Arabidopsis thaliana: one gene and its partners. The protein of the gene in region 1 interacts with the protein of each later gene in a pairwise test. Each region holds a gene or a part of one and is shown on either strand. Other genes may lie near its edges. The genes, in order: BEE1, AT4G29100, AT4G30180 and RSL2.

Region 1 (6,221 bases):
TATCTGAATTGTTCTATCAATCATAAAGATTATGAATAGGCAACATCCGTAAGATCCTGTGAAGTGAACCGTCGCTATTAGAATTATTTTTGAAAAAAATATGAAATATATAAGAGATATTCATATATGGATAATAAGAGAGACCACAAAAGAGGAAGGAAGTCTCAAGAGATTGGTTGTTCGTCTGTAAAACACGTCCATAGGCTTCGCATCACAATTTACTATTTTGTCTCTGTTTTTGGTTTGGGAGACACACATCATTGTCTTTGGAAAGCTACAGAAGTGAAGGGTGTTTTTGTTAATTTACACCGACAAAGTCTCTTTGGTTCCATAACTCCTCTTCGTTACCAAACCTTGCGCAACTTGCCTCTTCCAGTTTATCGTATATGTAACTATGCCTTTCTCGCTGAAAAAGGAAAATGTTTTTAGTAACCAAAAGCAAATTACATATGAATGGAAATATAATCCCTTAACAAGAACATATCGTTTTATATTATAAACTAATCTTCATTTTTAGTAATTCTATAGCCGAAGCCGTTTTTAACCCACTTTACGTAGGAAAGTGAAGTGGAACTCTAGACATCAAAAGCACATGCATGTCTGTAATCAGACTAAGAACTCTCGACCCTAAAATTAATAAACTAAAATCAATATTTAAACCGACTGGTAACGCTCATTTCTTTTTGTTATAAAGACTAATCACATTTCATTGAAGATTTGGTAATATATACAATTTACAATTGATTTCTCTCTTCCCATCATCGTCAATTCACTCATCAACACTTTGACATATGAGCTAATTCATCCATGATTTATAACTTCATTTGCAGAAACAAAATAAAAAAATTCTGTTGAATTTTATTTCTGATCATTTCATAACTTAAGAGGACAATTACATAAGAGGAAAAGGAAAAAGGTGCCAAGCAAACGAAATAGCAAAGCGAAAAGGGAGAGGACAACTGAGATATTTACATGACAATTATAAGTCACCAATAAATTTATATCGTCGAAATTACAAGTATACAGATTACAAATATTATCCCAAGTTGGGTCGTATATATGACATATCGCATCCAAATAAATAGAAGAATAATTTCGAAAACAATAAAAAAGAAGGAAAAGAGAAAAGAGAAAACAAAAGTCAAAGGGACCATGTTGATAAATGGAAGACAGGACTCCCATCTCTTGTTTGTCTCCCCATCTCCACTGTCTCACGTGCCTTTGCTCTCTGCCAATTGTATTCCATTCATATTATTCAATACTAATAGAAATACTTTATCACGTTAAAATAAAGTAATTGTCATAACAACAACTAGTTAGACTTAAACCATGCAAATATAATGCCAAAAAAAAAGAGACTACTTAAACCAATAAACCATACAAGATCAATTATGCAAAGGCTGGATTTGACCTGTCGAACATATTTTAATTGCGGGTCATATAGTCCGCGTGATCATATATTATAGTCTAATAAGATTGAATCTAAACTACAAACACTTGTATTTTTGAATAAATCTTTGTAGAACCGACTCGATCAAAACATACCGGACCCATTACAACATCTCTACCAGACTACCACTAATTAATTATATATATGCTTATCTTAAGAATTGAAAAACATTATTAGAATGTTCTAGTACCTGCATGGAATCAACTGCATCTGTCTCTGAGTTAAAGTCATAAAACGAACTTGCTGCAGTGAGTTTCATCGAGAGGAACTGAAATCCACAAAAAACATGAAACAAAATTGAGTAATTTATAAAATTAAAGCTTGTGTTTTGGAAGTTTTTTAAAGTGTGTGGTAAGATTTTCGTTTTTTTTTTGTAATTTTCGAATATCTAAGATTTGCCGTGTTTCGGAAAGTACTACTAAAGTAGGTATTTACCGAACCTCCCATCTCATGAAACCTCCATTTTCTAGTTTTTTTTTTCTTTCTCCAAAATACAAGAAGACAAAGTCTTATTGATATATGTAGTTTATGATTACAACTTAAATTATTTACCTCGACTTGATTCTGTAGAGACTGGACATAATTAATTATCTCGTCAAGCATCGTAGCCATTCCCATAGCCTGCACCCACCAAACATACACTTTCATTATAAGAAGTAAGCACCACTAAATCAATAGAAAATCACATCACTTTTTCTACAATTTTTTTTCTGAGTTCTTTGTAAACAAAAAAAACAAAAAAAAATCCGAAGAACAATTTTCGGAAAATATTATGAGCGGTATCAAAGAAAAAAGCTAAAATCACACTCATGCATGTTAAAAATACTTTTGGATACATATGTTCTTGTTTAACTAAAAGTATCACTTTTATCATAAAATGCTTAAATTTGATTCAAGTATAATTAGTGACAATTAATGCCGATGATGACCTTTTCATATGCTATTTATTGTTTAATGGCCATTAGTTTCTATTTTGATTACAAATATATTAAAAAAGAAGTAATGAAAAGTTGAAAATGTTAAACTATTATATTTATCTTTGCATTATTACCTTATAACATCCGGGCACCATATCTTGCAAGCATCTTAATCTCTCGTTTATTTTCCCTCGCCGAACCTGAAATTTTGATATAGAGTGTAGACATGTATATAAATTTAAATGAATACACCACGTTTATAAAAAAAATGAATTTATATAGACAATTTAAGCAATTTTACCCGTTCTGCTAAGCTGTGGCTATCAGTGGCTTGGCCTCTTCTGGCTCTCACATGAACAACTTCTCTCTCTTTCTCGTCTTCTTCTTCCTTCTTCTTCTTCAACCTCTTACCTCTTCTCAAAGAACCCTAGATATTTTTTAGACAATAAAAGTAATTATTTTAAACGAACTTTTTAATGATAAGTTATGAAAATGATAAGATAATTAGCTAGGGTTTCGAGATCAATTACTGTTTCAGTGGCAATAACATTCGTATTATCGGAGACGCCGCTAGTCTCTGATGAAGACAAAGTAGGTAACAAAGCTTTTCTCTTCTTGGTCTCATCGACGATGTTGTGATCACTATGGAGGAAACTTGAAGTTGAAGAGAAATTGTTACTACTGTCTGGAGAGTTTCCGGGAAAGTGAAGTAATTGTTGTTGATGATGATGAAGGAAGAGCGATTCGAGAGAAGTAGAGGAAGGATGAAATGTTTGAAAATGAAGGTTACTGTTGTTGTTGTTTAGATCTGCAGCTTGAGTTATGGAAGAATATATATCCATGGCTATTGTCTGAAAATCAGAAGAAAGATTCTCGAAATTTGCCATAATATAATGAATTGAGATATGATCTTCTTGACACTTTTTTTTTTTTTTTTTTCTGACAACTTCTTTAGACTGGTTGATACAAAACTTGAGACTTTTATATTGTTCGATTGGATTTTTTTATTAATTTAATTTATGATTTTAGAAAAAGAAATGTGGAGAAAATTAAGAAAGAAAAAGAGAGAAATAAAGGGAGAGCCACGTGGGCAAGTGAACGTTCTGGGATTTGTGTGTCGGGGAGATATGTCCAAACAAGGAAAAGTAGGACCAATGTTTGGTCGTGGGTTCCATTAGGCTTTCTCTGTTTGCAAGGGGGAAGAACATTTCTAGTCAGTTTGGTGTGAGGTTAAGAACTAGTGGTCTATCTTTAAATTTATTATTAATATTGGGAAGAAAATATTGAAATGGATGTAGCTAGTCAAACTAAGTTGATATCAAAACTTGTTTTAATGAAAACATCCATTAATGTTTTGCATGGAGGGTTTTTTATGTAGGTGTATAGGGTAAGAGATCACATCCATTTGCCAACTTAATTATAACTTCCAAATGGCCAATGCCAATTAATCGACAAAAATACTATAAATATGTGTATGTATAAAAATATAGGGAGATAAACGAAAGTATATATGAAGGTTCTTTTACATAAGTTGACGCCAATTTATGAATCTTTAGTTAAAGTTTAAGTTACCAAATTATTTATATTGGTGAAGACAAATTTTCACTTTAATCGGCATACTAGAGATTTCCTTTGTTTGTCCTTGTGATGATCAAACACATTGAGTTTTAGGAAAGAGTTTTTTTTTTTTTTTTTTTTTCTTCCTTTTAGGAAAGAGTTAGGTTGCAACAAATGTCAATGTTTAGTTGGGCCATTACTATAGATTATCTATTATGTATGGTGGAGGGATTTGATTCACATGCAATTTCATTCATTCAAGACAACTTACTCTTTAACTTGTTCATTAATAGAAGTAGTAAAGCATCCATGCCCAAATTGGTGTGCTTTAATTAGGAAATTTTGGAAACAGAAGTTTTTTTTTTTTTTCTCTGAAAGTGTCTTTCATTAAAACTTCATAGATGCAGGTCTTACATTGTGATTGCAGCAGTGGACTTTCCACTTACATTGGAAACAGAAGATAAGCTCAATATACATATATATATTCTTCTGACGTTAAATTGGTGGATAGTCATCGCCGTCGCTGAGCTGGCGTTACTTAATTACCATCATTATTTTGATGTCTCAAATATTTTTACCTTTTCCGTAAAAAAATAAAATTAACCACTAATAAAAAAATAGTTTCAGTTGGCAGCAAATAGCAATACAAAATTGCTGATTTAGTCCGGTCAGGCCCAATCACGAAGTTTTGTATGTTACGGTCCCTCTCTAGGTGGAATCGGAACAAGATCATCATTATATACATTCCCAAAAATATCATCTAATACAGAACACGAACACCATTCTCTAACTGTTAACTGACAATTTTAAACATACAAATAATAAACACATACAATGTTAGTGGCCGTGCGACTAATTTTACTTACTGTCCCATTTCACAATGACACTATCTGGAGACTGTGCAACCAACGGTCCACTCTTGTTCACATCTACAACATCCATTTCCGAACCAAATCCATTGTTCTGTATCCTCGTCAACGTATCCTGCACGTGCGACATACATGGCCTAAGATCTTTATCCGACTGCAAGCATTGGAACGCCAGCTCAGCGACAGCGATCACCGTCTGTCTCACTCTTGTATCCGTGTCAAACCCAAGTGACGGATCCACCATGTCGCGGAGCTCGTGGTTCTGGATTTTAACGACTGCCATGTTCGAGAGGTTGATCTCTTGGCGCGGTCTTGTGATGTCGACTGCTGGAAGTGAAGAGATAAGCTCCATTAACACTACCGCAAAGCTGTACACGTCGCTTTTGTTTGAGAGTTGATAGCATAAGTGGTAATCCGGGTCGACATATCCCGGAGTTCCTTGTGGAGCGGTAGATACGTGCGTTTTATCCATAGGAAACAGTCTAGAGAGTCCAAAATCCGCAACCTAAAATGTCGAAAACAGTAAAAAAAACACAGAAAGAAGTTAAGATTATGATCCGATAAAATCCCACCAGATTGAGTAATAACCAGTGTGAGTTACTGACCTTGACATTGAAGTTTTGGTCGAGAAGGATGTTGTTGGATTTAACATCACGGTGGATGATCTTGGAGGCGTGGAGATACTTCAAGGCAGAGGCAGTTTCAACAGCGATTTTGAGCCGAATAGACCAAGGAAGTGAGCTAGGGTTTGCCTGTGGACCATGTAGATGATCAGCTAACGTGCCGTTTGCAACATACTCATACACTAGCAGTAAGTCCCGGCTCTGTTTTGAGGAGCATCCAAAGAGAGCCACGAGGTTTGGATGGCGTAAACCCGTTAAGATCTCAACTTCATTCCTGAATTGCTCTGCTCTTTTGAAGTTGTTATCGTATAACCGTTTAACGGCTACGCTTCGTCCATCTTTAAGCTTACCGTAATAGACAGTACCAAAGCCTCCATCACCGAGTTCTTTAGATGGGTCGAAGTTATTAGTGGCTTCTTCAAGTTCTTCGTAAGAGAAAATATGAACTCCGACTAATAATTCCTCTGCTTTCTCGATGTCAAAAGACTTTGCAGATGGATCTGATGAGATGTTTCTTGGAAGCAATGCTGAAGAATTTCTGTAACTTTTTGTTTTTCTACGATGGTATACATACCAAAATATGCTCGCAGCTATTAATCCTACGACCGCAGCGGATGCACCTGAGATGGATTTTGTAATCTGTTAAAACTTGAGCGGGATGATTAACGAAACAACAGAGCATAACATAACTTTGCCAAAGTAGAATTTTATATCTTTTGATGGTGCGAAGAGCATCATAAATCAAATCGAATCTATTAAAATACTGGTTAGTTATTATAACCACATATCAAAGTCTTTTTCCCAA
Region 2 (7,665 bases), on another chromosome or scaffold:
CAATATAATAATTTGTTGTTGGATCGGGTGTTATGGATAAATTCCTTAATCCACTATATTATGTTCCTCAATAATATGATCCACATCATCCACTGCAAAAGATAAAGTATATTAATCATATGTTTGTTTATTGGTATGGAGCATGCATTCTTTTACACATAAGAAAACAATGCATAATTATTGATCCGAATAGTACTCTACCAAAACGATGTATTTATAGTCTTATAGATTTTAATTGACAAAACTGAACCGGCGTTACTCGAACCACATGCGTATTAAAAAAGTGCGTGTTATGTCAAAACTCGTAAGGCAAACGCATCGAATAAGGGAGCCAAGCGATAACTGGACAAAGATTATTTGGTTGGGCTTAAGAGATGGGCCGTGTCTGTTGTATTGAGCGTTTTTAGTTTACGAGAAAATTGTTACAAATTGACATGGAAATAACATCAGTAATTAGTAATTACATTCCATGCCAATTTGACCATTATTTCGTGTTGTTACAACTCACAAATTACTATCATTCTATCAGATCAACTTGGTGTCTATATACGATCCATTTTCTAAGTCTCAACAGTCGAATTCATGATTCACAAAATAACCAAACCTTCAATTTATAATCGTTTCCAATCCCAAAATCAAGCCATGGACGCCAAGAACACCAAAGCTGATGGAGCCAAGAATTTTGGTACGAGTGGCGGAAGCGGTGGTTCTGGTAGCACTTCCGACATCGGTAAAACAATGGTTGCTCCTGGATCTGGTGGACGACAAAGCGTTTAGAGGGAGGCTTTTGAGAGCAACCCTAAGAAGTTCTTTGATGATCGTAACTTCAAAGAGAAGAAATGAACCGTTTAAATGAAGAGCAAGTTCTCAAAAAGTGATGATATATCTTGTTTCTTATTTTCTTCTTTGTTAGTGATCCTCCAAGGCTCCACTAGTTCACACATATGGTGGAGTGAAGTAAAATAATTATCAATAATAATTAATAAGATTCATAATTTCTGAACTTTTTCGTTCTTTTTCTTTTTTCATTGTGGATGATCATTTACGTGAATTAAGAACTACGCATGAAAAAGGCAAACGAAGTAACTTATATCGATATTTTCCGGCACACTTTTTTATTTTAATGGTCTGCATGTCGTATATATCCCACACAATAGACATATTATAAGTAATAGCAAAATTATAACGATACAAACCACGTGGAAGTAATTAAAATAAGTACTTAACCACAAATTACAATTAACCGGTAAAAGAAAACAAACAGTTTCCTAAAGCAAGAACATAAATTGATCACTTGGTCATATCATCTGATAACGCATCAAATGATGAAACGCCAAACGCATATTCATCAGACGCCAGACGCAAATTCTCTAGCAAAGTTTTAAACGAAGAACTTTGTATAGCATCATGAGCAATCAGCCTTGGAAACTCAATTTGTTGTTTTCTCAGTAGACTGACTGCTCGTGATGTTATATCATTTTTCTCTAACGCTGGAATTCCACGTGGCGTAATTTCATTGGCTCAATGGAAACCGGCGGAGCCAAGTGCTGGAGCCCAATAGTCCGCGCCGTTGTCGCTGCCTACTTGGAGTGTGCATGAGATTGGGACAAGACATAAACCTCGACTTCTCAGATCTTTCTTAGGCTCTTCACTTGCATTTTGATTGTCCGTAGATGACGACGAAGCTCCTCTTCTCTTCATGCACTGATCGTTCACGAGCTAAAACCATATCAAAAAAAAAAAAAAACAATCATGATATATAGCATTGATTAACAAAAAAAGTAAACACATGTTCTCTAACACCTATATAAAGAGGTGATAAGAAAAAAAATCATTGAATTTCCCCTAGTGAAAAGCATATATAAAACCCCGCCAAAGGAATTTGAATTTCACTTAGATGAAGAAAACAAGTAAGGAGAAAAAGTTGATATTTAAATAAATTTAGTGGCTTTGTTGGTTTTAACGAACTTTTTTGGTTTATAATAATGTAAGGGAGGGTGAAAAAAAAGCTGGCCGCTGCATCTTTTAATATTAATCCAACTTTACTTTAAAGAAAACAGTAGAAAAGAAAAAAAACAAAAGAAAAAAAAGGATAAATTTTGGAAACTAAAGCTGTCCACATTTTTTAGATTTGGATTCAATTGATCCAATAAAAAGTATAGTGACTCTAATTATATATTAAAAGTATAGTGACCAAGAAAAAATGGACGTACCTGACCAGGGTCCTCAGGAAATATGCAACTCCTATCTCCTTGCAACTATTCATATAAACCATAGTTAAGACTTAAGAGATAATATATAAGTATAAAAAGTTTCGTGTAGGTTATCGAAAAAGAAGAAGTTAAGGGTATAAAACGATAGCATGATGATTTGTTTGTGTATATCAGTATATATACGAAAATTTGCTACTTACATGTTGTTGGTGCCTCATATTCCCCGAGGCAGTCGTACCAAAGTATGGATGACTCAGAGCCTGCAACAGTGCAACAGTTGCAAAAAGTCATAAATACTTTATATATAATCACATCAATCAAATATTACTTAACATGGAGAGAACAAAACTTTATACTACTATCTTTATTCTTTCTTATATAATATCATTATGCTTTATTCTGTAATTTATTTCTCAGTAATCACAACCTTTTTTTCTTCTTTTTTTTTTTGGTAAACGGAGTAATCATAAGCATTATTTTTATTTTACTGAATGAGAATATTTGGAGTTTGGAAAAGACGAGTCACACCTCAATTTGACTCTGAAGGAATCTAATGTATCCAATAGCTTCCGACAGGACAGAGGCTGTGTCAGTCTGCAAAAGATGGGTAAAAAGGGATGAAGAATGATTTAGATTTTAGATTAACAAGAATGAAACTAAAAAAATCTCCACAATTAATGTTAAAAGTTGATTTGATAGAGGAATATTAGACGACATTAATAAATTTGATTTGTTAATGGAATCGATCTTTACCTTTCCAAATGGAGATACTAGCTGATGAAGCGCTGCGATTCGGCCTCCTAGTTTCTCCTTTCTCACCTTTAATTACCACCATAGATTAATTAATAGCATCAATTAAAAAGCTTTCTATATATATGTGCATGTGTGGTCATATTATTTTTACTAATTACCATGCATAGAGAAAACGTGCTTACTTAGCATGTACAAGTGATAAACAATTATTTTACTTTCACTAGTATATATAATTATCATGATATTATTGAATCCAATGTCTAATGCGACTCTTCCATTTCTACGTTTCAAAACAAGTTACAGAAAAAAACAAAACTTTTAAATCTCTTTTTTTTTTTGACAGAACTTTGAAATCTCTCAAAATGTCCATATTCTATAAAATAAAATTTATTACATATAGTGTCGTCTAATTCTAAGGAGAATGTTGAAATTTATTAATTTAAGTTTGATTTTTATGAAATAAAGAGAGGAAAGGAATATTGAAGAATGAAGAAGAAGACAAAACAGGAGAGAACAAAAGAGTTACAAAACACAAAACCACACAGCTTATTCTGTGCCCATTCTGTTTTGTTTGCTTCTTCTGTTCTCCTTTGTGTTTGTGTTTTTGTTTTGTTAGTATGATGTCAGGGAGGGAATTTATATACAGAAAACGTTATATAAGTTATCCAAAGTTTCGTTGATATAATCAATTAGTTACCTTGAGGGTTGATTGTGACGAAGGAGAAGGTTGGAGCCTTGGCTTCTTATTAGTAGACCCACCAATCTCTAAGCTGTTACACTGCATCACATATATAGATAACAAACAAAACAAAGATCAATTAGTCATTTAATCAAAAAAAATTCAGAGCAAAACTCATCCTGGTTGCGTGTTGAATTTAGATCCAAACCTTAAAATAAAATATGTTGTCCTGATCTTTTTAAATGACGTTTTAGATTTCACTTTTTCATAGTAGTTGATGTGTTTACTAATTTATGTGTAAAACTAGATATTATTTCCGAGCTTTTTCCGTATATTATCAAAATCTCTGAGATGTGGAAAAAGTGTTACCTCAGAGGATCGATCCGGAGGAGTGTGTCTCCCTTCTGACAAGTGAAGACCATTGTGATTGCTAGAGAAATCCAACATATTATTATTGTTGTTGATGTTATCGTCGTTACTATTGAGGCTTGTTGTGGTAGTTGTTGTAACACAAGATTTGTTAGGAGGTGAGTTCGGGGAAGATATGACATAGCCATTGTTGTTGTTAATGTTACCCTCTTGTTTGATGTCAACAGCCACCATGGAAGCTTGTTGGTGGCTTAACACTTGTTCTTCCCAATTCTCCAATCTTATCTTCCCTTGAAAACCATGGTGTTGTTGTTCATCATGATGATTATGATGGTTCATCATCTCCAATCTCTCTTCCTCTCCCATCATCAATCCACCCCTAAGTTCACAAAGAAAATATCCAAAATATTAGATTGTTTGTTTGATACTTAAAATACAAACACATACATGTATATACGTATATACGTATAACAAAAAGGTAATTAGGACTAAGTAGCAACACACGAGAAAACAAAGAGTGAACTAGTAAGTAAACACAAGATCATGTCATGTGCGTATAGAGAATATTTCATTTTGGAATATTTATAGAGGGAGAGAGATAGAGGGATAGTTACAAAAGAAGTTGGCTAAGGCTCCAAGACTCAGGAGGGAGATCATTGCTTTCAAGCCAAGAAGAGAGATTAGGGTTATTAGGCAAAGACGGTGAAGAAGAAGAGGAAGAAGAAGAAGTCGCCGGAGATGGCAAGAAGTGCGGGAAGGGAGTGGGCATCATCCGTGGTCGGAGATAATTGTTATTAGGAGTCATATGTGGTGGCAACGGCGCCTGCTGATGACCCATCAACGGTGGTGGTGGCCTCATGCCGCCGCTTACGTTCCACCAATTAGGGTTTCCGGCTGCCATCAGCTGCTGAACCGGCGAACTCTCCAACACACCTCTATTCATCACCTTTTATCTCTACTCTCTCTCTCTCTATAGATCTCTTTATGTGTTTACTAATCAGAGGCTTTGGAGAAACGTTGAGAAGTGTTTGATTCTTTAGCTTAAGTAGTTTTAGAGAAGAGAAAGAGAGAGAAAACTCAAAACTAACTTAAATTTTGATCTCATTTGATAACATGTGATGTTAATTTTTTTGGAATTTTTATTTTTGTTTTTTAATTTTGTCTTTTTCCTCCCTCTTTTTTTCGTTCCTTTAATTTTTCTTTTCTATTTTTTTAGATTTATTTGATTGTATATCATATATTTACTTTTTTCCCATGCTTTTTTCCATGCTTTAGCTTTATCTTAAAGTGGGGCAGAGAAAGGTGGTAGCTACTTTTATTATTTAAATTAATACATGAGTTGAGAAAACAAGCAGAAAATATTTTTAAATCAAAGAAAAGGATTATTCGAATATTTTATATACGGTGTATAAATTTTTCGAATATATATTACATATAATTAAATAAATTTTTGGTTATATCACAACTCACAAGTGTCTTGCATCTATGATCTATGCATTCGCCTTTTGATCGAATGTAAATGAATTATCCTTTTTTTTATCCCTATTTTTTTCATTCTTGTAACTTGTTGAATTTTGTTTTTCTGATTAGTAAGATTGCTTCTTTGATCTAACGGTTTAGATTAGCTAACTAGTTCTAAACTTGCAATGATTATATCCTGGGCCAAATACTAGTGTTTTTATTTATAGGTACTAGCCGAGCCAACAATATTTTTTTCTTTCTTTTTGCTTATTTCCTCACTGTATACTAATTAAAAGTGACAAAAAAATTCAATAAAATACGACGGCGTCGTTGTATTATATGTCACATATACCTTTAAAATCACGCAGCTATATGCTTTTTTTAATAACATAGTAATGTTTGTACTTTTAGTTTATTAGTATTTGTTTGTTTTGTTTTGTTAAATAAGTACTTGAATTCGTTAGTATGGACTTTAAAGAACACTGAGTAATAGCATTTATAAATGATTCCAATAATAAAAACTATAATTTTATAGAATAAAATAATAATAATTCCATAGTCAAAAATCATATCCAATTACAAAAAGGTAAGAAAATTAAAGACAAGAACGATTCTGGTATTATTTTCAACGAAAGATTCTATTTTTGCTGACGTAAAAAGTACTGAATTGTGTTGCGTAGGGTTTTCTGTAATTGTAACAATGCAAATACATCTAACGAACTCTGTACTTAACTAATCAATTACATAAAAACGAGTCACAACGTCGGTATGCGACTTTATTACATTTTTTTTTTCACTGCGACTTTATTACATATATGATCAAGTTGCTCTCAACATTTTTATATAATAATTAATTAGCAAAAAAAAACATTTTCTAAAAGTGATACTATATATATATATTTTTTCTCTCATTTTCGTTGAAAGGTAAAGGTAAGAACATATATGTCTTGATATCATTTCATCGTGGAATAAAGTCACTGTGGATTTTTGTATATTGTGTTTTGAAAAATATTCTCAAAGATGTTTTCAGCGTATGGAAGATGTTAGTATCAAAATAACAAAATATTTTTAACATAAACTGAGGACAAAAATTATGAGACATGTAAAAAAAAAAACTTATTTTGCAAAATTTTTAAAACATGTTATTTTAAAAAACTAAGTATAATCTTAATCAACGACTATAATTACCTTTACAGTTTTCTTTTTACTGATAATATAAAAAATATATTTCAAATCAGAGAAATTTTGTTAAAACTGTTTACTATATGTTAAATGTTCCTTGTCCTAAAATAAATAGATATACTAAACATTCTTAACATGACATAGTATTTTTTGGATTGTGTATTTACTTTAGAATGAAAAAATGTATCAAACAGTTTTCTATAGATAAGCGTAATAAAATATGTGCACATGTAGGTGCGATTGTATTTGTGTGTATACAAACAATTGTTCGTTCTTTATTTCACTCTGTTAGACACAAGATGACGAGAGCATTGTGTCATATGACGCATACACTTAATTTTAAATTCTAACCTGAACGAGTCATTTTTTTTGTCCAAGCATGATCAGAAAAATACAAATTAACAATAAATACCATTTTTTTTTGCCTACAACGAAGAAGACCAGTAATCTCGAAGGAATCAATGTCCTAGGGTTTGGAGATCCCTAATATTCTGTTTCCCAGTGATTTCAATTTCCAAGAAATCCTTACATATACTTGTAATATACGAGTCAGAAAACATACAATACAATACAATCCTATATTTCGTATTTATTACCGGGACTACAACTAGAAGTGAGATCTTTAACTTAGTCCAGGACATTCACAACTGGTCATCGAAATTCTCTTCAACGATTTTTCTTTACAAGAGGCGAAACTGTAATAGTGTAGTCCAAAGTTTGACAAAACTAGGATGTAACTCTTGCAATTTCTATTTAGACTCTGTAACCAAGCCAATATGGTGGATAAACTTAGCATTTAATGATGAAATGATTATGTGTAATGCTACCTGTAAATTCCACCATTTCCATGCACATTTTTGTAAGATTTTTCTGACTACTTTCCTATCATATGTTATATTAGTTGGAAAATGGTTTTTACGAAAATCAATCACTTTCCCAACTATAGATTTAAGAAAAGTTTCGTTTATTTTTATTATCGTCATAAACTGATCAAAAATATTAAAACGA
Region 3 (4,548 bases), on another chromosome or scaffold:
ATAGAGAGATTTGGATGCGTGCGAGTGACTGTGAGACACGTGCAAAGATATGGATGATGACTTCAAATCAATGTTATGACTTTCATAGTTTACACATATGTCATCCAACTTTCCTCCTTTTTAGATATTTACAATTTCGGCGTTTTGTTTTTCATATTCATCGAATTTTTTGGAAAGTAATTCTAGTCCAGTAGTCCTAATTTTTGTTTACATTTTAATGGTGCACCTGTAGTTACTGCAGCTGGAACATATTGGTGATCTCTACTAATGTGTAGCTTTTATTTAATTGAAGATTTGTTACATCTGATTTTTTGTAGTCGAAAGTTCATATGTTTTCGCTAAAGGAGAAAAAAAACTTGCAGGAATATAAATATATACACAAACACAAAGTTTGTCAGGTTAAAATGATTAGAATATTAAAGTTTGGAGATTTGCTCATAACATTAAAATAATAAATTCAGGAAAAAAAGACAACATAAGAGTTTTATTTTAGGCAGCACATCGTCTATTTGGCATTACAACCAATAATTTAAATTTCAATCAGATTTTGATCGAATTTTATAAGATGTACGTATAAACGGCCATGTGTGGTACTTTAGGTATTTCGGTAACCATGATTAATTAAGAAAAGGAAAAAAGAAAAACACTATAATACATGCTCTTGTTCTTAAAGAAATCAAGAGAAAAAAAAAAACACAGATGATTTTCGTTTAAAGACAACAAAAAAAACATGAAACAAACTATAAATTATACACTTAAACTAAAAGTCAAGTACTATCTTGAACAATGGACTTGAGAGCAATCGTCTGCAACTCAAGACATTTAATGTAGTTACCAATCTCACTCAACATTTCTTCCACATTCATCTCTTCCCCACCTGGCAAAAGCTTCTTCAATTCCCTCAGTCTCTCCTCTATCCCTCCTTCTTCGTTTCCGCCTTCTTTATCGGGTCTTTCAAGAATCCGAATTCCATCGGAAGAAGAACTAGTGGTAGTGGTTGGATTCGATGAGGACGATAGCTTCTGCAGCAAGAAACGGCTCCATGCAAATTCTTGAGCAGACAAAGCCAAAGCCATATCTACTTCATGCTTCACGGTTTGTTTTGAAGAGTTCTTGTTCATGTTGAGCTTCTTGAGTGCAGGAACCAAGTGGCTTGTGTATTTTCTCGTGAAAACTGCACTAGGGTTCTTGTTTGGTTCAAGAGAAAACACTCGTTTCTTCCTGTTTATGATTTGCCTCTCCATATGAGAAACTATTTTTGCTGCAAATGAAAGTCTACAAGGGAGAAAGTTACATATATAGCAAACTTAGAATATGAGAGAGACAAAGAAAGAGAAGAGCGGTGTCCTACGTTTGTTTGTATATAACAAGCGTTGATGATGTATAAAGTAAAGTTGTAGAACTTAATTTTCTTTGTATACATATATGAGGTAATATGTTTGGGAGTGTTATTATTTTTCGTTCACGTACAAAACACAAGACTATTTGAAAGTCGTAGTTAGTAGTTTTCTTTTTTAGACAAATATTTTAAAAACAACGGAATTTGAATATCATCAACTAATATATGTTTTTTTGTATAATACATTTATTTTTAGAAAATACACGAAAACAAAAAGAGAGTGTGTATATATATATATATATATATATATATACATAAATAAAGAGAGAAAAATAAGAAAAGAAGAATTTGGGAATAATAATGGGTGAGGGAAGAAAAAACACATGGAGTCACATGCAAGAGCTCTAATTTGGCTGCATCACAACTACCCCTAAAGAGGTGCTTTGAGAGACCCTTTTACCATGTGGCTCCATTCCAAGAACAAGACATCAATACAAAACCCCACCTTCTCTTAATGCTTTCACATGTTCCTTCCTCTTAACCTCTCTCTCTCTCACTCACTCACTCACACACTTTGTATATACATAATACATGTATGCATGTGTATGTGTCCTTGGACCAATCTCCTAATTAGTTTGATCAATCTATGTCATTTCTACCCATATTATCTTAATATAGATCTCCCTCATATTATATATACCATTTGACCTTCTTTTTTTTTATGCTGCATGTGTGATGAATTTGGGTTTCACTACCCACTACTTTTGCGATATTTGGATACAGATGGTAACTTGCTAAACAGAAATTTAGTTATTATTAGTGGTAGTTCAATTGGTGATCTGTACAACATATCAAGACAAACATCTTTGAAACTGAATTTTACTGCCACTGTAACTAATATGACGTAGATACAAGTTTCTTTACTACGCATATTAACATAAAGTTAAGATGCATGTGGTCAGTAATTGGGTTATTAATACGTTTTATTTGTCAAGGACTTTTAGTCGTGATTTTTTGATTCTAAGCATCATTGCATTCCAGGTTTAAAGATGACTTTAATTTTTCCTATAGGATTTGTAAATAGATAAATATAGTTTATGTTGACACAAAAGGTCACCTTTGATATGATATGAAAGTCTGGGTGTTACTCATTTGTTATTTTATTTTTATTTTTTAAAATATATACCGAATCATTTAGATATATATATATATATATATATATAATAATAATAATAATAATAATAACAATAAAATGTCCAAACAATATCTATAACTACTAAACATGGGCGGTTGAGACATTACAAGTTGTCTCTTAATCTTATAGTGTTTGATACATGCAATATACACGTTACTAGCTTTTGTTGTTAATAGCCAAAACTGAATGATCTCTTATTGGTTTTGTTGTGTTCTTTATCCTACCACACAAAAAAAGTCAAGGGTTAGTAGATTATCAATCAATGCAGCAAGGAAATTTTATTTCTCTTTTGTAAATAATCTTTTTTTTTGTTAGAATGTGATGTTTTCTCGTATTATATTTTAATGCAATCCCATAACCTTTGATTGAATGTGGAAAACATGTGTTAATGGTAACCCATCTAGATGAAATTAATTAATCTATAAACTTTACTAAATACAAGTAGATAAAAGTACATAAAGGTAGAGGAATTTTCTAGTTAAAAACAAACGAAATAATATATATATATATATTGGATATATATATATATATATATATAATCTAAGAGGAGAAAGAAATTGAGATGCAAACTAATAGATGTGGATACCAAAATAGATACTAGACATTCACACCTATAGTAGACATTGAACAATAATGCATATAATCATAAAAGTTTCTTGGAATTTTGCTTAATGGTTTTCCACCTTTGACAATCCACGTTGAAAAAATGACCGAATTAAATGTAACTCTTTCCAATCACACAATCAAGCTAGGTAAAACCAGATTCGTAATTATTCAACAGTATCTTTACGTAAAAAGATATATAAAGGAACAATAATGAATACAACCAACTAATGCCAATAATATTAAAATAGTATAGAACTATTTTGTCTGCAGTATGAACCACAAAGAAATCGTACAAAACTGTCAGAATGAATTGTACAAGGTCTGTGGAGATTTCTATCGAATATTGTAGATGGCATGTTATGACTTGTTTGTGCTGTTCTTAAATTTTGTTTTCTCTTCTTTATATAAGTTTTTTAAAAAGAAATAGTTAAACTGAATTAAAAAGGTGTAAGCAACAATAATATGAGAAGCGGACCCAGATAGAGGAGAAAAAGATATGGCTTGGATTGGGATTTGGGAGGGACACATCTCATGTGGGTTTGAATTCGAGTGTTTTGTTTGTATTCTTAATTTGGAGCTATTTTCTTCGCAAATGTCTCCACGTGCACTCACTTTAACATTTCTTTCTACAACATCTTCGTTTATTGAGAGTAGAAAAGAACACTGCCTATATGGCTATATATCTCATATGTAATGTCCTGTCTTCGTGATCAAAATTTTAGCATTACGTAAAATTTAGAGGATAGATAAAAAGTTACTTTAAAAAGGATCGAGGTTTAACATATCACTTATGCTTAGTTCCCTTAAATATATTTAAAAATGTATAATCCACCATGATATGATGATAATATAGTAAAAGAGACTTCATACGAATAAAATACAAGATAACTATTATATTTTTCTCGATTAAGACCAAAAAATAAACATAATCCAGCACCCATTTTCAACCATTTTGCACTTCCACGGATTTTCTAAATGGCTTAACAATCTGTATCATTTGTTTCATCCATATACGTATAGAGGTTTTTTAATGTCTAGCTCTCTAGGTATTATTATGTAACACACACGTTTATTTTTGTTGGCTTGTTAATAAAACATTCATATATATAAGATTTAAACAAGAACGAAGGGCATTTAACATAATGTTCAGAAATAATTAAAAACGAAGGACGCATATCATAATGTCAAACTATTTGGCAGGAATCTTTATATAAATTAAACTATTGTGTTGTACAAATAATGTAATAAAAAACTAAGAATGGGACAGGGGAAACGCAGTAAAGATTTCCTTGTATCTGGTGGAAATTGCAACTACGAGTCGCATCCTCCTTCACATCCTTTTTTTTTCTGCATTTTATTTTGTTTTTCAAATAGCTCTTTTAACTTAACATTTAGTAAAAAAGGAACA
Region 4 (5,257 bases), on another chromosome or scaffold:
ACATTTAGAAGTAGTACAGTTTTTTTCGTTTTATTTGTTGTTTTTGATGGGTTTTTCAATAAATTCTAAGACTGAAATACTATAAAATTAGATATTCATTAGATTTCAATGCTATAAGGGTTTCATAATTGCTATTAAAATTGGCCGTTCAAAATATAGATAAAGTTGTAGAACAGTAGTTGTAATTTTTTTCTTCGCAACAGTAGTTTTAATTTGTCATAAATCCATCAATTAAGCAGAAATAAAAAATCAAATATCTGATATTGATTGCCATGAATATGATTGATTGCGATAATATTTTAGTGGGGAAATAAGTTGGATATGCTATTCCAGCCACTTTTAAATGCTTTGGACTATTAGATAGATATCTCAAGAAACTAATTTAATATCCTTTTATATATCATATATTCGAACTTTTGGCAAGGTATAACTGTTATTTTTATATACTATAAGGTCTAAACACAGCTATTGCATGGGAACAATTATACTTTTTTATAAATCCGACAGTGGAAAATCATATACGCAAAATTAGTACTGAATATTCCATTGTAAAATTATAAACTAAACATAAAGTATGAATTGGTCTCATTCATGAATATACGTGTGAGAAAGAAAATGTTGCGGCCGAAGTTTTTAAGTGGTCATATTTGATATTTCATCCTTCACAAATGAGTGCATTGATTAATTGATGAGCATTTGTTTTTCGCATCACAACTAATTTTGTAAAATAGGGTTTTACTCCTAGTGAAAAAGGATTTTCTTTGGAATGAACTTACCATTTTAATTAAGCCTAAAAAAAATGAAAACAAATTCCGCCTAAATATTAAATATCACACACATTTCAACCAAAATGATGTACATTCACATTTCTTAAATAGAAGTTACTTTGTTAAGTTATTATTAGCACATTCACATTTTCAACTATTACCTCTTTTGTCAGACCTTTCTTCATTCGTTTGTCAGACCTCTTCATTTTTTATTTTTTATTTTAATATTATAATAATAACTCTCCATTCATTAGGTATTCTTCGAACGGTGATCAGATTAAAAATAATCATATATGTCCCTTGATCATTAAATAAAACGGTGATCAGATTGAGTGTAAACTGTTTAAGGTATAGATCTTATGATCCTGATAAGTATTAAAACTATCGATTGAACAGATGAAACATAAGAATTGAAATGTAAATATGTGATATAAAAGAAAATGAAAGTATAAAAAAAATCGAACGTGACTCTCCATTTCTCTCATATTTGAACATCGTACGAGAATTTATAATCGAACTCGTCCGAAGGCGGAGAATATTAAAAAAGAAAAAGAATATTACATTTTTGGTTATATATAAGAGAAAATATCCAACTAAAATCACAAGTTTTCTGCTTCATCTCGGTGAGCTGAGACCAATGTCCATCCCATTGAAAGCAATCGGCGCATACATCCATAGATCATCAGAGCTCAATAACTGCGTAATTATATTTTAAAATATTAGTTAGATCATATTCATATAACAATTGAACGTACAAAAAAAAAACGATTTGTATTTAAAACCCTTGCTTACCTTAATTTGGAGCTGCAAAAATTTGACGTAATGAACTGCTTCCTCAAGCATTGTACTAATATCGACCTGTTACGTATTTAAGCAATTGTAAATGTTTAGAATCTTTATTAACAATTTCTTGTATAATTAATGAATTTGCATGTAAAAGAGCCATATCTTCTGCATGTTTAAACGTTTGCATGAGTTTTTTTTTTTACCTTTGTTCCATTGGGGACGAGATTTTGTAAAATCCTTAGTCTCTCGTTAATCCTTTCTCTTCTTTTCTGCACGACAAAAAAATAATAAAAAACCAAATTAATTTTTTGAAACATAATCTTCCATAAAAATTTGATATTTTATCTTTTTTGTGGGAAACAAACAAAGCAATTTACCCTTGCATAGAGGCTTTGAGGATCGGTGGCTGCACCACGACTGGCTCTTGTTTTACCATTGAGGTTGAGGGCCTTTGAGGGATCATCTTCCTTAGAGGATGAGTCTTCTCCTCCACCGTCTTGATCAGCGCAGTTTGATTCTTCCTCCGTACAGAAAGTGGTGCTTGAGTTCTGTCTACTCATCATTGCCCCATTCTTTCTTTTCTTCAACTTCGTCTCTCCTTCTTCCTCTTCTCCTTCATTGTTATCCCCACTCATCTCTACGTTCTTCTGGGCCCTCTTATTCACTCTTGCTCTCTTGTTTTTCTGAGTCCATGGCAAACCGTTTCTATATTAGTCACTAAACCAAATGTGATCTCTCTAGCTAATTGCCAACCAGTTCGAAAATTAAAGACTTACATCAGTAGATGTGGCACGGGATCTCTTTTTGGAGCCGGTGAGAGATTTTGTAGTAGTCACAGAGATCTCAGATTGCAACAAGCTTTCCTCGTCATCGTGGTTCTCCACTACGGTTTCCAAAGGCATAAGAGTCTTTCCAGAAGAGTATTTCTCAACGTCACACTCACTTGTCTCCTCACCAACAAGGTATGAGTTTGTATTGATGGTCACATCTTCCATCCCAAAGTCCATTGTCTCATTTTGGTTCTCTTCAACCGTGGGTGGAACAACGGTGTAATATCCGCTGTTCCCAGCGCTGTAGCTGCTGCTCTCTTGAGAGAAACAGAAGCTACCGGCTTCAGACACGAGGCTAAGGTGGTTGTGATGAGAACCAAGGTTCCAATACAAGCCTTGGTGGTCACCACTGGCTGCTGCGCCGGAGGATGAGCCGGTGCCAGGATGATCATAAGAGGCGAGAAGCTGGTTCATGAAATCGGCTTCCTCGGTTGCATAAGTGTACATTCCTCCGAGGTTGTTGCTCCATTCTCCCATGGCTTCCATTTTTATATGTTTTGTTAACTAAGCGTCTTAATTAAGAGATTAATCTTAATTAAGAAGATTGTTAGTTGGAAGTCTTGTGAGAAGTGAGGGAATGAGGAAGAGGAGTTGGAATGTATATATAGAGAACATGAGAGATAGTGGATAAATAAATGTCAACACATAATGACACTAGTTAATCATCTTTCTAATTAATTTGTAAATAACCAAGTCTGGGATACCATTAGATATGGACAGCTAATTATGGTGGGCTCTCTGCAACTTGGTCATCGAACATTAAGTTTAATATATATTTGTCGTTTGTCGTTTATGATTCTGCATTTCTGCTTGTTAATGGCTTCACTTATATATGTTAAATACATCGTTTTAAGTTAAAAACAAGATTATAGTTGGTTGATATACTAGTTCATATGAGAAATGATTGTGGTGGCCGTATTCACTGCATATTTAGGATCAAAATTGGAAGAGCTCTTAGCTTAGCTCATTATAATTTTATCGACTTCCATGTTTCGTTAGCATCCGAGTAATAAGAGATAAACAGATTTCTTAGCAAAAGTGTTTTTTGCAAACTCACTCGATGAAATAGTAGATGTGTTAAAAACTCATGAACGTATAGTTTATATTAATGAGTTTTTTTGCACACAACTATGATTCAAATTCTTGGGAACACTGAACTTACGGTTAGACCCCATAAACTGCTTTCTAATTGCGCCAATCCGTTGAGATCGCGAGTTTTGATGTTGAGTATCGAGTAAATACAATTCACAAGTGTTGATCCACCTTAAAAAAAACTTCATATCATAACGTCATATGATACCTATGATATGAATGTTTTTCCCCTAATGACATGTAGTTAGGTCCCCATATAGTTCAACCTGCCATGATATAAGCAAGACTTATTTTTATTTTAATAGTAAAAAAAAAAATTCTCCAATATTCTACATATAGTAAGAATATTCCTATATATTGATTAGCTATAAGTGTATTATAATTTATAGCTTAAACTAAAATTCTGCATAATTATACAACGCATTAAAGTATTAAGCATTTTTTACTTTACAAAGTAACAAACAATCGAGAAACTATTGGGTCTGAGTAGAAAGAATGATATTTTCCCACTCACCCGCTGACTAGAAAAAAAAATCAAAACTTATCCAAAATCCTTACAAATTTCAAATATATTATATTTAGATAGAAGCATATCCATATGCTATACGACTTCTAAAGAGAAATTATCTAACTAGAATACTGAATACCTATACAACACAAACACAAAGATATAGATTTATGTACATTGTCTCTTTCTACTTTTACATTTTTTTTCAATTTCTATATTTGTTGTCAGCTGTGTTTTTTTTCGAATATGCACTGACTAGATTTATGTGCTAATGTGATTAAAATAGATTACAAAATGATGCATACTCTATGGACCTAGACGGCTAGACATATTTCTCGTCTATTCGATGATTAAATCATGTAAAAATCTAACCTTGAACCAATCAATAACGGATTAAAGAGGTACGACGACTTACGAGAGAAAATTATTGCGTTTGTCAGTTTGTGTATTATGACAATACTTGGATTATCCTAATTTTTAGTTGTAATTATTATATCAAAACCGAAATAAACTAAGGAATGGAATATTTCGACATTAAGCGTAATTCACTTTTAGGTCAAGTTGATGCGAAATTAGAAACAAATGACAAATCAAGCCTATACTTTGAAAAACGCCAACTTGTAGTGACCCAAAAACCGGCCGGTTTTTTCCCATCTATTTTGTGATTTGAAGTTTTAATCTACATATATTGTTTAAATTTATTATTATTTTCTTTTGATATTGTGTTTTTGATGAAACATTTAAAAATTAACCATCTAATTTACGAAACTAAGAACACAAAAGCTCTTCCTCTAACGCCCTTGACAACTTAGTAGTTATTTTATATTAAAATAAGAATCGCGAAGTCTTTGGTTGCTTAAGTTGTCAAGTTCCATGGATAAAATAACTGTGTAGCAGAAAATAAAGAGTTCATGAGAATGAAAGAGAGAGAGAAAGGGATGTGAAATGGGAGAATCAGAGACCTGGTTGTTGAACGTGACAGTTTCTGCATCATATTAATGTTTTTAAAATAAGGGAGAAAGAATGATACTGAGTTATTTGGATTAACTATATTAAGTAATAATTGGTTAGGTTGAGTCAACCACTGGACGGCAGATCGTGCGCGTGGAAAGTCCAAAAGCTCATAAGCCATTCTTGTTATTAAAAAAAAAAACACTATCTATCTCAGTTAAATGTGTATGACATTTACTTCTACCATGTCTATGAAATTTACTTTCTGATCATGTAATACTTACTATGATTTACGTCATGTGACGACGAGCATATACTTTCAA

The links.
Region 2: the proteins of BEE1 (region 1) and AT4G29100 interact in a two-hybrid assay, tested with the Arabidopsis thaliana proteins (one large-scale study listed by BioGRID).
Region 3: the proteins of BEE1 (region 1) and AT4G30180 interact in a two-hybrid assay, tested with the Arabidopsis thaliana proteins (one large-scale study listed by BioGRID).
Region 4: the proteins of BEE1 (region 1) and RSL2 interact in a two-hybrid assay, tested with the Arabidopsis thaliana proteins (one large-scale study listed by BioGRID).

The regions. Positions count from the first base shown.
Region 1 is NC_003070.9:6,328,497-6,334,717, reverse strand, and holds BEE1 (BR enhanced expression 1), read right to left. Parts: upstream 3,321-6,221; 5' UTR 3,255-3,320; coding exon 2,898-3,254; intron 2,795-2,897; coding exon 2,669-2,794; intron 2,568-2,668; coding exon 2,502-2,567; intron 2,072-2,501; coding exon 2,003-2,071; intron 1,719-2,002; coding exon 1,641-1,718; coding exon of another isoform or gene 1,599-1,640; exon of another isoform or gene 1,229-1,598; coding exon 1,142-1,228; 3' UTR 862-1,141; downstream 1-861. Other genes in the region: AT1G18390 (Serine/Threonine kinase family catalytic domain protein), read right to left, coding at 4,783-5,298, 5,399-6,055. UniProt on the Arabidopsis thaliana protein: Positive regulator of brassinosteroid signaling.
Region 2 is NC_003075.7:14,338,432-14,346,096, reverse strand, and holds AT4G29100 (basic helix-loop-helix (bHLH) DNA-binding superfamily protein), read right to left. Parts: upstream 5,133-7,665; 5' UTR 4,958-5,132; coding exon 4,629-4,957; intron 4,394-4,628; coding exon 4,015-4,393; intron 3,745-4,014; coding exon 3,664-3,744; intron 3,033-3,663; coding exon 2,967-3,032; intron 2,808-2,966; coding exon 2,742-2,807; intron 2,474-2,741; coding exon 2,414-2,473; intron 2,259-2,413; coding exon 2,214-2,258; coding exon of another isoform or gene 2,172-2,213; exon of another isoform or gene 1,720-2,171; coding exon 1,522-1,719; 3' UTR 1,084-1,521; downstream 1-1,083.
Region 3 is NC_003075.7:14,765,724-14,770,271, reverse strand, and holds AT4G30180 (uncharacterized protein), read right to left. Parts: upstream 1,489-4,548; 5' UTR 1,245-1,488; coding exon 768-1,244; 3' UTR 501-767; downstream 1-500.
Region 4 is NC_003075.7:16,238,184-16,243,440, forward strand, and holds RSL2 (ROOT HAIR DEFECTIVE 6-LIKE 2), read right to left. Parts: upstream 2,987-5,257; 5' UTR 2,870-2,986; coding exon 2,330-2,869; intron 2,237-2,329; coding exon 1,931-2,236; intron 1,823-1,930; coding exon 1,757-1,822; intron 1,626-1,756; coding exon 1,560-1,625; intron 1,464-1,559; coding exon 1,383-1,463; 3' UTR 1,180-1,382; downstream 1-1,179. UniProt on the Arabidopsis thaliana protein: Transcription factor involved in the regulation of root hair elongation. Does not seem to be a direct transcriptional target of RHD6 and RSL1. Involved in the regulation of root hair elongation in response to low phosphate.